2 linked regions of the Arabidopsis thaliana genome follow. The protein of the gene in region 2 interacts with the protein of the main gene of each other region in a pairwise test. Each region holds a gene or a part of one and is shown on either strand. Other genes may lie near its edges.

Region 1 (7,393 bases), on a different chromosome or scaffold from region 2:
AAAAAAGAAGCTCATAACGCTGATTCATTTTCGATCGCTTTTAGTAAGAGACTGATAATTTTTGGCATTAGCAAAAATGATAAAATTCTAAGGTATTTATGCAAGTTTGTTTATAAACATGTGCTATAATGTACTTGAAACAATATGAACATTAATTTGTTATACAAGATAAGATTCACGATGAGACATTATAATAGTAAGGTGCCTAGAGAGACAAGAGCTGTCACTGAGCAAATGTTGTCTCCTACTCAATGCACAAAACCTTCTGAAAACATCAAAACGTATAAATACTTTTACCCTTAGTATACATATGCTATTTCTCTTACGCACTTCATTGAATAATAAATATTTTTACGTGTAAACTATTAAAAGATCTATTGTCAGATAAGTCAGAGGTCAGGACAACTATATAGAGAAGAATTGTTATTGAATTTCTCATGTGTTGTTGTTCGTTCAATTACGTTCCGACCAAAGAGCGAGTTCCAACGTATATCTCATCGTTTTGATACCCCACGTGATCGTTTTCACGTTACACAGTCAACGCCTCCAGAGCCAAGCCATCTTTTCTAGTACATTACATTTACATACTTAAATTCAAGCGCCGATCACCGATACGTTTTGAGGAGCTCATAATTAATCAAACGCAAGGAAAAAGAAGAAAAATAATTTCTATTTCATAAAAACTTTGGACAGTTTGGTTGAAAAGTTTGATCACTCGTTAAGATATTCACACATGTTAGATATGCACAATTTGTCTATAACGCAAAACTTATCATCAGCAACTATCTTACTACACAATCAATTGTCTAGACTAGTGCTTTCATTTGAAATGTTTCTTTCTCCACGCAAATTCTTTGTATCACTCCAAAAATAGTCCGAGTGATATCTTATTGGTGACAGATAAGTATATACTAAAATAAAGGAAAATTAAATTCTATTATAAGTTTGATTGTTCTTTACTCATCGAATTAAAATGCGACTACCTTCAAGCTTCAACCGAATATTACGTTCATAATTTTTTAACAAAAAAAATAACGTTCATAATTAACTTTACATACAAACAAAAACATAAATATATAAGACAAAAGAAATGAAATAAAAAGGTTATATGTGGAAGTATTAGTGCATTTGATCCAAAACAAAATAAAGAATTGTATGGAGATTTAGAAAAGCACAAGATCTAATCTAAACAGACTGCGCGATCTAGTAATACTTGACTAGTATATGATGAAATATTAGTGTAATTTAATAACATGCTTCACGACCATCGATAAATAGAAAAAACTAATCAATAGTAAATAATTGTACTTGCACATCCCAAAAATTTAATAAATGTAACAAAAACTACAAAGTCACGTACATGCATGTGCATATAATTAATTATACAAAGTTATCTAAATTTTCGACTATCATATGCTATAATTTAATTAATGCGACATTGCATGGTCCCATACACCTAAGCCTGACCTGGAATTAGTCTTTTTTCGTTCTTGTAATTATTCTTTTTCGTTTGAAAAAAAATCACCTTTGGGTCGTATCGCCTTTTATTTGCAAATACGTTTTGATAATAACTTAAAGCCCCAAAAGAACGTAGTAGAGTACTGTTACAGGCAAAGCAACCAGCATTCCGAATATAACCCTGAAAAATAATATCAAGTTTTTAGCTTAGGAGATCTCTGTAACTTTGTATAGTTTGAATACCAAATTAATATCTTATATATAGTATTAAAATGAAGTTTAAGAATGAAAATTAAATATTTTATAACTTAAATAACTTACGCAGTGCTGAGAATATCAGGATGGACGTTATATTCTTTGGCGAAAACAAAAGGAACGATTCCTTGAGGAAGAGCAGCCTTCAAAACATACAATTATATATATTCTTATCAATTATATTTTTCAAAGAAACCCAACATCACTAGCTAAAACATCAAACTGTAAGTTAGATTGAAATATATATAAGACTAAAGAGTAATCACCTGAACGATGGCGATATGGAGGAGATCACCTCGAATACCAATTGCTATTGAGGTGGCTGCGATCACGGCTGGTCCAGTCAAGAACCTTACGGCCATCGCAAACCCTGCTACTGATTTTCCGCACGCAATAATCTTTGGTTGCAATGCCATAAATAGACCTATATGTATCAATAATTAGCAAAAAAAAAAGCACCAAAGACTATAACTAAATATATATATGAAGGGAACTATACCAAGACTAAACATAGCCATTCCAAGACCAGCATCAGATAATATCGAAATCGATCCACTCATTATCGTTGGCATCTTTATATTCCACCTGTCCCATAAAATGATCAACAACATCAAGCAATTGCCCAAATATATTGTTATGTTATATGATTGTGACATTATTATTAGTACTTACTTGAAAGAGACAAGGGACCAAGCAAGGCCAAAGAGACTAGAGTAAGTGTTAGGGTTTCGAATGAGTTTTCTCCAAACCATTATCAGAATTAGTCTCGTCATCACACTCGCCGGCGGCATCTGCTGTTTCCTAGGACCGGGACCGCCGTCTTCCACGTCGCTACCTTTTTTGCCCATGTAAGGTGACTTTCCCCCGTTATTACCGTCTTGGTCCATTTCCACATGCCCTTTTCTTCCCGGTGACATGTTCTCTATCAGATTCTGCATCGCTGTCATCACCAAGTATGAATATAATTATAATTAAATATCACAGAAAATACTAAACTAAATTTATTATGACCTTTCTTCGACCAAAAAACTAACTTATAGAAAGCCGTACGGAACCAAATAAAAATCTACTTTAATTAGTTTAAAAGTTTTCATAAGTTTTGAAACTTTGAAAAAACTATAAAAAAAACTTAGAACCGATATTGAGCTTTATACATTTTTCCTAAAAGTTAAAAAAAAAATAGAAGCGTGGCAAGTAATGATAAAAAAAAATATGAAATAAGTTGGAGATTAATAAACCTTTAGTAGCGAGGTTGTCGTGAGGAGGAATAGAAACTTTAGGGTCGGTGGATACATCGGTGGAAGAACCTCTGGTCATAGCATTCTTCGCGTTGGCTTCCGACACCGGAGAAGCACTCGAACTCCACACGAACATGTTCATCTCCTTGTTTTGTCCTCCTACTCCTACTCCGCCACCGCTTCCTCCGCCACCACTTTCCTTTTTCTTGACTCCACTTGCTCCACTCGTTGACCCCGTGAACATTGGGTTCGGCGGTGGGTACGACGGAACTGACCATAAATTATAGAAAATTTTATTTTAAAACATTACATTATAATGAAAAAATCACATTTAAATTTCAAAATACAAAATTAATATTTTGTTTTCCAAAACTATAATCAGTTTAAAAACCTAAGAGTTTTGGAAGTGATATACTAAATTATTATTATTTTGTTAAAAGAAAAAAATAATTACGCAAAATTATTTGATGAACTCTTTACTTAACTTTTAAACCTTTTTAAACCTAATAATATCCCACTTATAATCACCGGTGACTGATGGAAAATAATAATAATATCTGAATCGATTCTTATATCTATTTAAATTTATAAAGAAGCAAAATATATTTTTTTAAAAAAATAAATAAAAAATAAATATATATATATATATATATTAAAAAATTCATACCACTATTATTGTTGTATAATTCCCCACTCATACTTCTGCCTCCTCTTCCTGCTTTCTTCGCCGTCTTCATAACTTCCTCATCAAAATTTGACGTTCTCGGCGTCACGCCTTTAGAAGACTGAAGTGAGTAAACATCTCCACCTGGACCAGCTCCAGCGCCGCCGTAGCTATTAGTGTAACCGTGACGAGGGCTTGGAGCTTTGCTTGCGTTAAACATTGCGTAGAAATCTGTCTGATTAAAGCTAGAAGCTCTCGGCGTCGGCTCTCGTGACGATTGAACGGAGTAAATCTCTACGCCGGTGAGATTTGAAGCTCGCGGCGTTATCATGGAGGAGTTAAGTCCTCCGCCGTGAGATTTGTTGAATGAAGAGATCATTGATGAGGCGGCACTTGATCTTCGAACCACCACGTGTAGCTTTCCGTCGTCTCCTATCTCCGCATCGGTCTAATGAAAGATAAATCCATATTTTTAGGTGATGAATTTCGAGTCGATGTGATTTAAACCGGATATAACCGAATCGGTACAAAAAGAATGAAAATTCAACTAGACTATAGTTAATAACTTGATATTTCTTATATTGTACTAATTATTAAATTCTGCGTGAATAATGTAACACGTCACTTTGAAGATTATTTTTGACTTCTGAAAAAGGAACTCAGACAAAACTCAAAATTTGTTATAGATTTACATAGGCAAAAAGGAATCCCAAAATGACATGTAGTCATGTCGTAACTAGTAACTACCCATTTTCTAGTTTACTTGAGTTAACCGGTCCGTTAATTTGAACAAACATATGAAAAAGGTCATCAGTGAAAAATTCATACCTGGAGGGGTTCACGGCCATTAAGAGAGATAACATCAGAGTCAACTCTGAAGGAAGTAATTGAACCAGCCGTCTCCGGGAACTGCTCGGAGATGAGAAGCTTAGCCCCACGGAACTCAAACAAGAAGAGCATTAATGTATACCATATGATGCTCTGAAGCACCACGATCTGCACCATTAGGTTACCGGAGAAGTCTCCGTACATCGCCCTAAGCAATGGGATTCCCATTACCAACGTGTTAGGCAGTGTTGATAGTGAAAAGAGCGTTATCATCCATTCTAGGCTTCCTCTGCGGCTAAACGCCTAAAAAATAATATCACAATATATACACAAACATGAGAATGTGTGTGTTTAGAGACACATATTACAAAAGAGCTAAAATGTTAACTAAAATATTTACCCGTGTTAAATGACATAGTTACTATACTATAAGCTTTCGATAACCAATATGTTTTCGAGTAAAAATTGACCATCATAGCAATTACTAGTAGACTACCATCACTTAATGAAGATAGATTATGTGCATAGAGAGATTATTGAAAGAGACGGGCCTGCCAAAGAAAGAGTGCGGCGAGGATAACGACTTTCTGAAGAGAATCAGCAGCGAGGAAGTGGTAATTCATTGCATAAGGATCATTGGAGGAGATGAAATGGAAAGAGAGAAGAGGAACCGCGAAAACCGCAACGAACCGGTTTATACCGGAACATTGGTCCGGTGTGAATATCCCCCACCACCGTACCGAACCATAGGCTAATATCATAGCAACGTATAGCGGCACCATAGCCGCTAAAACATCGTACATGTCTTTGCCGGTGATCATTTTGATTTACTTTTTCCGGCGAGAGAGAGAAGAAGAAGAAAAATAGAGATATAGATGAGTATATGTGGTGTGAAATAACGTATTTATGGACAAGGAAGTGAAGTTCCTTGAGACGATATTTAATTAATGTTGTTTGTGTTAAAATAATGGGATTCGTGTTCAAACATTGAATTATAGCTAAGCTTAGCTAGAGAGGATCGTTGGACATTTGAATATCAAATAAACAAAATATAAACCAAAATGCCTTTTTTCTTCCTCGGCATTTTGTGAATGGACAAATACTAATACAGTAATAATTTCAGTCTGAATCTTCTTTGGTCCATAATTTTTCGAAGTGCTCTAGATTTTTTCTTTTTTTCCGTTGATACTAGATATTCCTTCTATCTTTATTACTTCTGCAAAAAGCCGTTATATTTAATTTGAAGAATCTTATCTTGGGATAAGGAAGATTGGTTTACCTTCTGTCTCGTGGTCTAACATTATTTGTAAGTAAAATTAAATGCTTCAGAGATTATAAATTATAATTACACAAATGTTAGATTCAAAATATCTGTAGAGTCAGATACTTGGATCCACTTGTACGTGTAATACAAATTTGTAAATTTAGATTAGATTTTATATTAATAAGAAAACAAATTTGTAAATTTAGATTAGGTTTTATATTAATAAGAAAACAAAAACGATTTTTGTGTAAGCTATTGAGACGGCGAAGGTTGATGGACATGCACATGGTTTTTGCGAGCATCTTACTACACTTTCTGAGCGATCTGCGGTTCCCTGTAAACATCTGATTTTTAATCAGGAAAAATACAATTGTAATTAACTTATCTTTTAATCTTGAAACGGTGTATTTTTGTTTTTAAACGAAAATCTCTTAATGATTTATTATTAACTACAGTCAAAGACATTGGCAATTGGACCGATGAATAATTAGCCTCTCTTCCATATTTAATTGTCGTGTTTTCTTCATATTGCAATTGTTAACGTATTTATCACGCCACGTGATTGGGCGTTTGGGCCTAATGGACCTATGGATCTAACGATGGAGATACTAACTAGATTATCACTAAAATCTCTTTTGAAGTTCCAATATGTATCGAAGACATGGTTTTCCACAATCCGTAGCAAAGACTCCATCAATTCGTTGGTCTCTATGTCATCTACACGATCATCGCGATTTCTTATATCTCTTTAAAAAAAACGGTGAATTGACCAACAAGAAACCTAAAAAGAGTTTGTTCTTCTTTACATCTTCACAAGAGGAAGAAGAATAAAAGCCTTTAATAAGTGATCTCAGTTTTAAACTTTATCCATGTTTTTTTGTTAACTCATGAATTGAAAGAGAACAACCAAAGTGAATGTAGCCTGATAAAACAGGATGAAACTATTGAAAGATTCAAACTTTGTTTACAGAATCATCCTTCTTGGCCACTTCACTACTTTCCAACGGTGGTAAACTCTGCACAAAAGTAAAAAGCAATCAGATTACAAATCTCTCATGGGCAATTCATCGAACACCTTATGTGCATTACAATAAAAGAGAGATCACAGAGCCAGAGAACGAAATGAATGGTTTTAAACCGATCACGCTTATGGGCATTATCAAGAACGAAGAAAGTGAGCAAACCTAATACATTTGAGAACCCTAACATATGTACAGAAAGAGAAGGTGAAGCTTACGAGATCTGGTTTGTAGATGTTGTGGACAACGGAGGCTCCGGCGAGAAGGGAAGCAACGACGACGAGTGTTGACATTGCCAGAGACGGAGTTCCCGTCGGCAACTTTCCTTTATACGGTTTCTTCATCTTTGGCTCTGCTTTTTGACTGAGCGCGCGATATGAAGAGAAATTTGAAAAGCTTTTCGAAATTTTGAACCATCATCAACAAGTTTGCTTTTATAGCAAGTCGGCTTTTTATGATTTGAACGCGCAGCTCTCGCGCGTGAGTAACACGTCACCTCCCTGCCTGAATCTCATTATCTAAGGCCAAAGTTTTGAATTATATAATAAGGTCAAGCTACTCTAAAGAATTATGGAAATATCAAAACACTTTTTTGAGGATCGTTTATAAGCTTCAAGACCATCACTTGACAATCATGAGAGTTCAATACCTCAAACCTCATCAGATA
Region 2 (6,209 bases):
TTGCGTTCCTCAACGAAACCTCAGAACAATCAAGATGCTCAACGAGCTCACAATCAGAGTACTTAAACAAAAGCTCATCGTGAATCAGAGTTTGTCTCGGTACAACGCAGAAGAGATGGATCAACGACTCGGCAGCTTCACCGACGTGATCACGGACGACGTCACGACCAGTGGAAGGATCGAAAATAGCTAAATTGACATAGGAATTGGAGTAAGCAGAGTGGAATAGACCACAGAGACAGACGGATTCAGGAGCTTTCCATAGCTTGAGGATCTTGTAGATATCGATTAAGTGATCTAGGAAGCTTCCGTGTTTGTGCCAACACTCGCCGGCACCGACGCTTTTGAGGACGGCGATTAACGACGGGAGTTTGGGGTCGATCTTTTCAAGCTCTCCTCGGAGAAAAGGTCGGGCTGATTCCAGTACGGCGTCGTTCGGGGATGGAGATGATGATGAACCCATTTTGTCTCTATTACTCTCTTTCGGTTGATGATGATCGCTTCTCCAGCATGGAGGATTAAACCTTTTTATTAGCATTAAAAAAAAAAAAAAAAGACTTAAACAATGACTCTTTTAAAAAAACCATTGACCAGGACCACCAGGTTAATATTTTATGATTTCCCTCTATTAGATGACCAAGCAACATTGATGTTCATCGGCAAACAGAACAAGAACTGAACTCCCCCACTTCTCATAGTGTTTCACTGTTTTGTAATAAAAAGAGTTACTATTAATTTTAAATCATACAAGCATGCAACTCACTGAGCAACTCATAGGAGTGTAGTTATATAGTGAAGATTAATTAACTGAAAATTACAAACTAAAAATTGCAATTCTTTTTACCACATTCATGACTGCATATAATAACTTTTTTTTTTTATTGTAAGGACTACCCCTCTCTCCATTACTTGAGACAACAATCTGTATCATAGATCTGAAAGGCAACACACCAAAAGCCGAATGAAATGATTGAATAGCTCGAGACCGACAGGTATTCATTTATTGTTGCGATACTGTCCCATTTGTAACGATGTTTGATTATTTTAGAATTAATGTCATCTTCACAACAACAACAACAAAAACAGAGGAAACAGTACAAGTGAACAATGAAAAAAATAACATTACAGAAGAAAGATTGGGGGAAAGAAAAGAGAGCAGAGAATCAAAATGACTAAGACTATTACCAAAGTGTTTGACTTGTAACTTTCACAAGGGAAATGTAACCTAAAGGACAAAAATAATGATAGTAAGCGAAACCCATCAGTAGATAATATATATAATCATATATTAACCTTTTCCACATTGAACTGAACATATTGCCAATGGCAGCAATGGCTTCATCATCACAGCAAATATAATAAGTGTGATTCTTCATAGGAAATACGGAACTCCAGTCCTTGGCCCTCTCATTTGATTGTTCTCTTCTGTCTCTGTGAAGAACTTCACTTCCCTTTCCTGGTAATACAAACATTTCAATCGATTTCATCACTAACCCATGCAGGAAGGAGGATCCTAGTAGCACAGACAGCTTGAATCTATGGTCAATGAAAATCCACTACAAATGCAGAAACAGAATCTATGGCTCACACAGATATTCAAACCTCATTGCACATGGCTTACTTGATTTAAATTCTCTAAATTACTTTCTATAATCTTCCTAGATCCATTAATTCAAAGAGGCACATAGCAAATCAACAAGAGTGTACATATTTTGATAGAGTAGAATCTTAAAAGAAATGATTAAAATCACTGAAGTAATAGAATCCCTTCTTGCTGACAGAGAAGATTAGAGTATTCATTTAGGAAAGACTAAGAGAGGCTCACCATGTTGTCATTGAAACTCAATATAGAAGCGACATTCCCACAGCGGTAACAGTAATTAGGTGCAGACCATACCTTCACAAACAAAACAAAATTAACAATCACTAAGCAGAGTTTCAAAACGCCCACTAATAAAAAATATCAATTCATTAGAAGCAGGACACTCACAGTTACAAGGCCTTTATCTTGGAACATGTACTTAAGACCTTCTTGTACAAGTTGGTGCGCGCGGCATACTAGATCCAGCTTGTTGATATGGTTAAACTGCACAAGAAGCCAGAACCAAAGATCAGAGATGTGAAATTAATTTCTTAGTTACAGTATCAATTCAAGCTTTTGAGAAAGTAAACATACCTCAGTGGTAACCCTGGATCCGAAAAGCCAACCAGCTCCACGTGGACTAACCGCCCATGTTTCAATATCTTCAGGATCACTCCACATAAGATCGCAAAAGGGCCCTTCATGAGGAATTTCGCAATTTCGCTCGATCAGTCTTATCTAGAGCCCACAGCAAATCTATGTGAGTGGAGGACCTTAATAACATGCCAAGCTAGAAGCATAATTGACGGGTGAAAGCCACAAGCAATAAAAGCAGAGTTTAACCTGATCAATTGTCCGGACATCCGGGGAAAGGCCACCGTGAACACATAGAACCTAGACAAAGCAAACTATTTTAGTATAACATACAGCTATATGTGTTCTCATCAACAATGCCAAGTTGCTAAGAAATCACTTACTGTGCCATCTATAATAGCTGACAGGGTAAGATAGTCAAAAACATCTGTGCAATATCGCCACGCATTAGCGTTACCATACTTCCTCTGGCATTCGTCATAGAAACCATACACCTAAAAAAGTAAATCAAATGGTTCTGTGTTATAAAGGAGTTCAATGTCGAGAATCCATGTATAATTTTGATCATCTAGTCAGCAGATTCACGAAATGCATATTTGAATTGCACTTTAAGAGGTATGATTGCAGACTAAGTCTTAGTAAAGGTTTGCCAGGAATGCATTCAAATACAAAATTATCACCACACTTTCTTCCTTAAAAACCTATGTATCAACTAGAACACTAAGGATTACACACATGCTAAAAAGGAGACTGGTACTATATGAAGCACCTTCTGAAATTAGCTTTCCAATACTTGATTCACATAAAATGCATCTTAGCTAACATCGATGTCTACATCTGACATGACATTGCCACATGTAGTACAAAATCAGAACTTTCAAAACCCTGCTGTAACAACGAGAAGATAATCAACATTGCTTACCTCCTAGGAACAGCGTGAAAAGCAGAATAATAGATATAAGTGGAACAGAATAACACATACCTGCGTTAGCTGCCTACTTTCATGATTTCCGCGCAAAAGTGTAATATTGGCTGGATATCTACATATTAGAATACAAAGAACAGAGAAACATGAGATGCTAAAGAAACAATATCATTCTCGTTTGGACTAATTTTGAATGCAATACGTTACTGGGACTATTTCTTCCAAAGAAAGATAAATAATTATCAAGATTAATTGCTTAATAAACAATAAGTTCGTATTAAGCACGAACAAAAAAAAACTTAAAGGCAAAGATTCAATGATAACAGGAATCTCCAGAACATTTATGAGCACCTTACCTAGCTTTAAGAAGTAAAAGAATAGTGAAGACTTCAAGGCTGTTGTAACCTCTATCCACGAAGTCCCCCTGCGAATTTCCCACACCAGATTATGATTGTATTCATAATTTCATATCAATATGTCATACAAGACACCACAAAAGAAAACTCGGTACCATAAAAATGTAATTGGTGTCGGGAACATGACCTCCGGTCTGAAAAAGCTTCATAAGATCATGAAACTGGCCATGGATATCACCACATACGGTGACTGGACTGTTTACAGGCTGTACGTTTGACTCCTCAATCAGAATCTCTTTCACCTGTATAACATTATGATAAACATCTTCTGGTTAACACCATGATTCATCTTCGCAAATCTATAAATCAATCGCTGAGAAAGGAGACCATAAAATGGTATCTAAACTACAAAATTGATGCCTCCATAGTTGAAAAGAAAGAAAAATCCTAAAATCACTACAGACCAGATCGAAGTCACGTTCCACTAAGGTATATAAATACAGATCAAACCAAGCAGAGAAGAGCACAAGAAGCTTAATCGACCAAGAGAAGAAATCAAGTAAGAAGAAGAAGAAGAAGAAGGCGTACGTATTCGCAGAGAAGCTGAAGCTCGTCTTCGGAGAGATGCTGACCATCTTTAACCTTGGAAATCCATTGATCCAAATCCATAACTCTCTCTCTATATATATATACCTCTGACTGGTAAAATCTTCAACACTTTCGTTCGATTTCAATAGCGACTTTTCTGGGAAAAAAGAGGAATCGAATCGAATCGAGATAGATCTACCAGAGAATCTTCGACTTCGTTAGGGTTACGTAAGAGGAGGAGATGAAAGAGAGAATGAGAGGTTCGAGTTTCACAAAATGACACATACGGCAAAAAGAAAAAAAGATCCCAGATCGATCTCTGCCGCTTCCAACGCAAATCAAACTTTTGCGTTTGTCAAAACGCAATCGTTGACGAACCAGCGTCTCATAAGAAATACGATTGTGATCCCTCATACTTCTAAAAATTATGAGAATTGCCAAAAACTTTATGATTGGGTTCTTAACAACCCTCTTTGAACAAATAACAAAAGACAACCATAAGATCCAAATCTCCACTACAAAGGACAAGGACGTCACTTTCTTGAATCTTCATTCTCCTAAATGTACAATATCCAACAATTTACAAAGGAATAATGAATTTGAATCTATAAACCAATCCAAACCAAAAAGAATCATCAATCAGTAACTATTTTTCTCTTTCTTGTATAAGAGTTAAAAGGACCCCAAAAATGGTTAGCAACAACAACACTTGTGGAAGTCGCTATGAAGAATGGTGGCAGCAAGAAAGGACAAAGTTGTTCATGAAATGGTTGAGCTCAGCTGTATACAGTTCTGGGTTACTCCGGAAATGGTCTACATGAGGTGAAGATATGAAGTTGCAAGCACGGACCTCATGTCCTGCTTTCCTCTGCTCTACAATGAATGATTCAACTTGTTCCACCGGTATAACTCTGTCTGCAGAGCTGTAAATGTATAACTGTGGACAACTTGGTTGTGCTGTTGATAATGTGTCAAGAACATCGGCAAGTCTCCTGTTAAAAATATGATTGCACGCATTTGTTAGTGTGAAATCATAGGATATGGGTGACAAGAATGAGTGAAGAGATATGATTGCCCGCATTTGTTAGTGTGAAATCATAGGATTTGGGTAAAAGAATGAGTGACGAAACGCGGAGTTTTATTGTATGTTACCTGTTTACTTTGGGAAGATTTAGAATCACCGCAAAGAACTTTTCAAGAACCAAAAGCAAAGCTGTTTCTGTTGCAGCGGGTTTAGGCTGGGAGATGTTTATACCGTTTGACTCATATGATGAGCTCGCAGATCCTTTAGTGGCTACACTGCTTTTCTTCAAGAACGCAGCTGAGAAACCTGATGCCCATACCTGTTTTAACAAAGCCAAATTAGTATCCAGAAAGTTCAAGCGAATAGTGCAGAAATCTATAAAAAGAATAGCACCCATCAGCGTCTAGCAAATCAGGTATCCAAGCCTATGATTTAGCACAAGCCAAATGACCATATAAACATGGCTATGAATGCAAGAATCATCGCTTACCGTAGGATCTGCAGCAGCAACAGGAGCTGAGTCCACTATGCAACCTTTAACTCTTCCCATCAATGATGAATCTTGCTTCTGAAACTTTTCCAAAATGGCTCCATATCTGCATAGATGAGAAACTCGCTTAGTAAAATGTAAAACCGCCATGTAACTATGTAAGCACATGAAAAAAACAGAGATATTAAACTCACGTTAACCACCCGGTGTTGCTGAAGGTGTGAAAGACGAGATTTTTCTTTTGCTCTTCATCCAACCAATCAGCCAAGTGATTAACCAGCGACTCGATGTTCTTCTCTGCTTTCCCTCCAACTTGATAACTCATAATCTCATTCATCGGAAGAGTAAATGTAATGACATGGTAACCCTTTGAAGTGTACCAATCAGCATATTTCTTCAGATGCTTCTGCTTTGATCCAAGCCATCCAAGCAAAACCACAACAGTTCTATTCTTTTCAGACACACAACTCGAAGAACCAGACATATCGACTGCACTAGGCTCAGGTAAATGCCATCTGTAGGAAATATCAGGAACCACAAGTGAGGCACCGATTGTGAATGCAACCGGTTTCGATGCTTTAGCCAACTCTGCAGACTGATAAACACTACGAAGAGCGGACAGAGAAGTAACAGAAGTAGCGAGACTACAG

What was found.
Region 1: the proteins of FYPP3 (region 2) and EIR1 interact in a protein complementation assay, tested with the Arabidopsis thaliana proteins (one study listed by BioGRID).

What each region holds. Positions count from the first base shown.
Region 1 is NC_003076.8:23,098,636-23,106,028, reverse strand, and holds EIR1 (Auxin efflux carrier family protein), read right to left. Parts: upstream 5,514-7,393; 5' UTR 5,265-5,513; coding exon 4,995-5,264; exon of another isoform or gene 4,844-4,994; intron 4,747-4,843; coding exon 4,444-4,746; intron 4,064-4,443; coding exon 3,619-4,063; intron 3,222-3,618; coding exon 2,952-3,221; intron 2,654-2,951; coding exon 2,386-2,653; intron 2,299-2,385; coding exon 2,213-2,298; intron 2,138-2,212; coding exon 1,980-2,137; intron 1,857-1,979; coding exon 1,780-1,856; intron 1,640-1,779; coding exon 1,573-1,639; 3' UTR 801-1,572; downstream 1-800. Other genes in the region: AT5G57080 (uncharacterized protein), read right to left, coding at 6,661-6,723, 6,945-7,070. UniProt on the Arabidopsis thaliana protein: Acts as a component of the auxin efflux carrier. Seems to be involved in the root-specific auxin transport, and mediates the root gravitropism. Its particular localization suggests a role in the translocation of auxin towards the elongation zone.
Region 2 is NC_003074.8:6,959,925-6,966,133, reverse strand, and holds FYPP3 (flower-specific, phytochrome-associated protein phosphatase 3), read right to left. Parts: upstream 4,399-6,209; 5' UTR 4,127-4,398; coding exon 4,046-4,126; intron 3,760-4,045; coding exon 3,613-3,759; intron 3,526-3,612; coding exon 3,458-3,525; intron 3,217-3,457; coding exon 3,159-3,216; intron 2,671-3,158; coding exon 2,560-2,670; intron 2,477-2,559; coding exon 2,426-2,476; intron 2,321-2,425; coding exon 2,177-2,320; intron 2,087-2,176; coding exon 1,991-2,086; intron 1,898-1,990; coding exon 1,826-1,897; intron 1,457-1,825; coding exon 1,373-1,456; 3' UTR 928-1,372; downstream 1-927. Other genes in the region: AT3G19990 (E3 ubiquitin-protein ligase), read right to left, coding at 1-538; AT3G19970 (alpha/beta-Hydrolases superfamily protein), read right to left, coding at 4,767-5,037, 5,198-5,388, 5,560-5,665, 5,754-6,209. UniProt on the Arabidopsis thaliana protein: Catalytic subunit of protein phosphatase 6 (PP6). Dephosphorylates phosphorylated phytochromes, with a preference toward Pfr forms.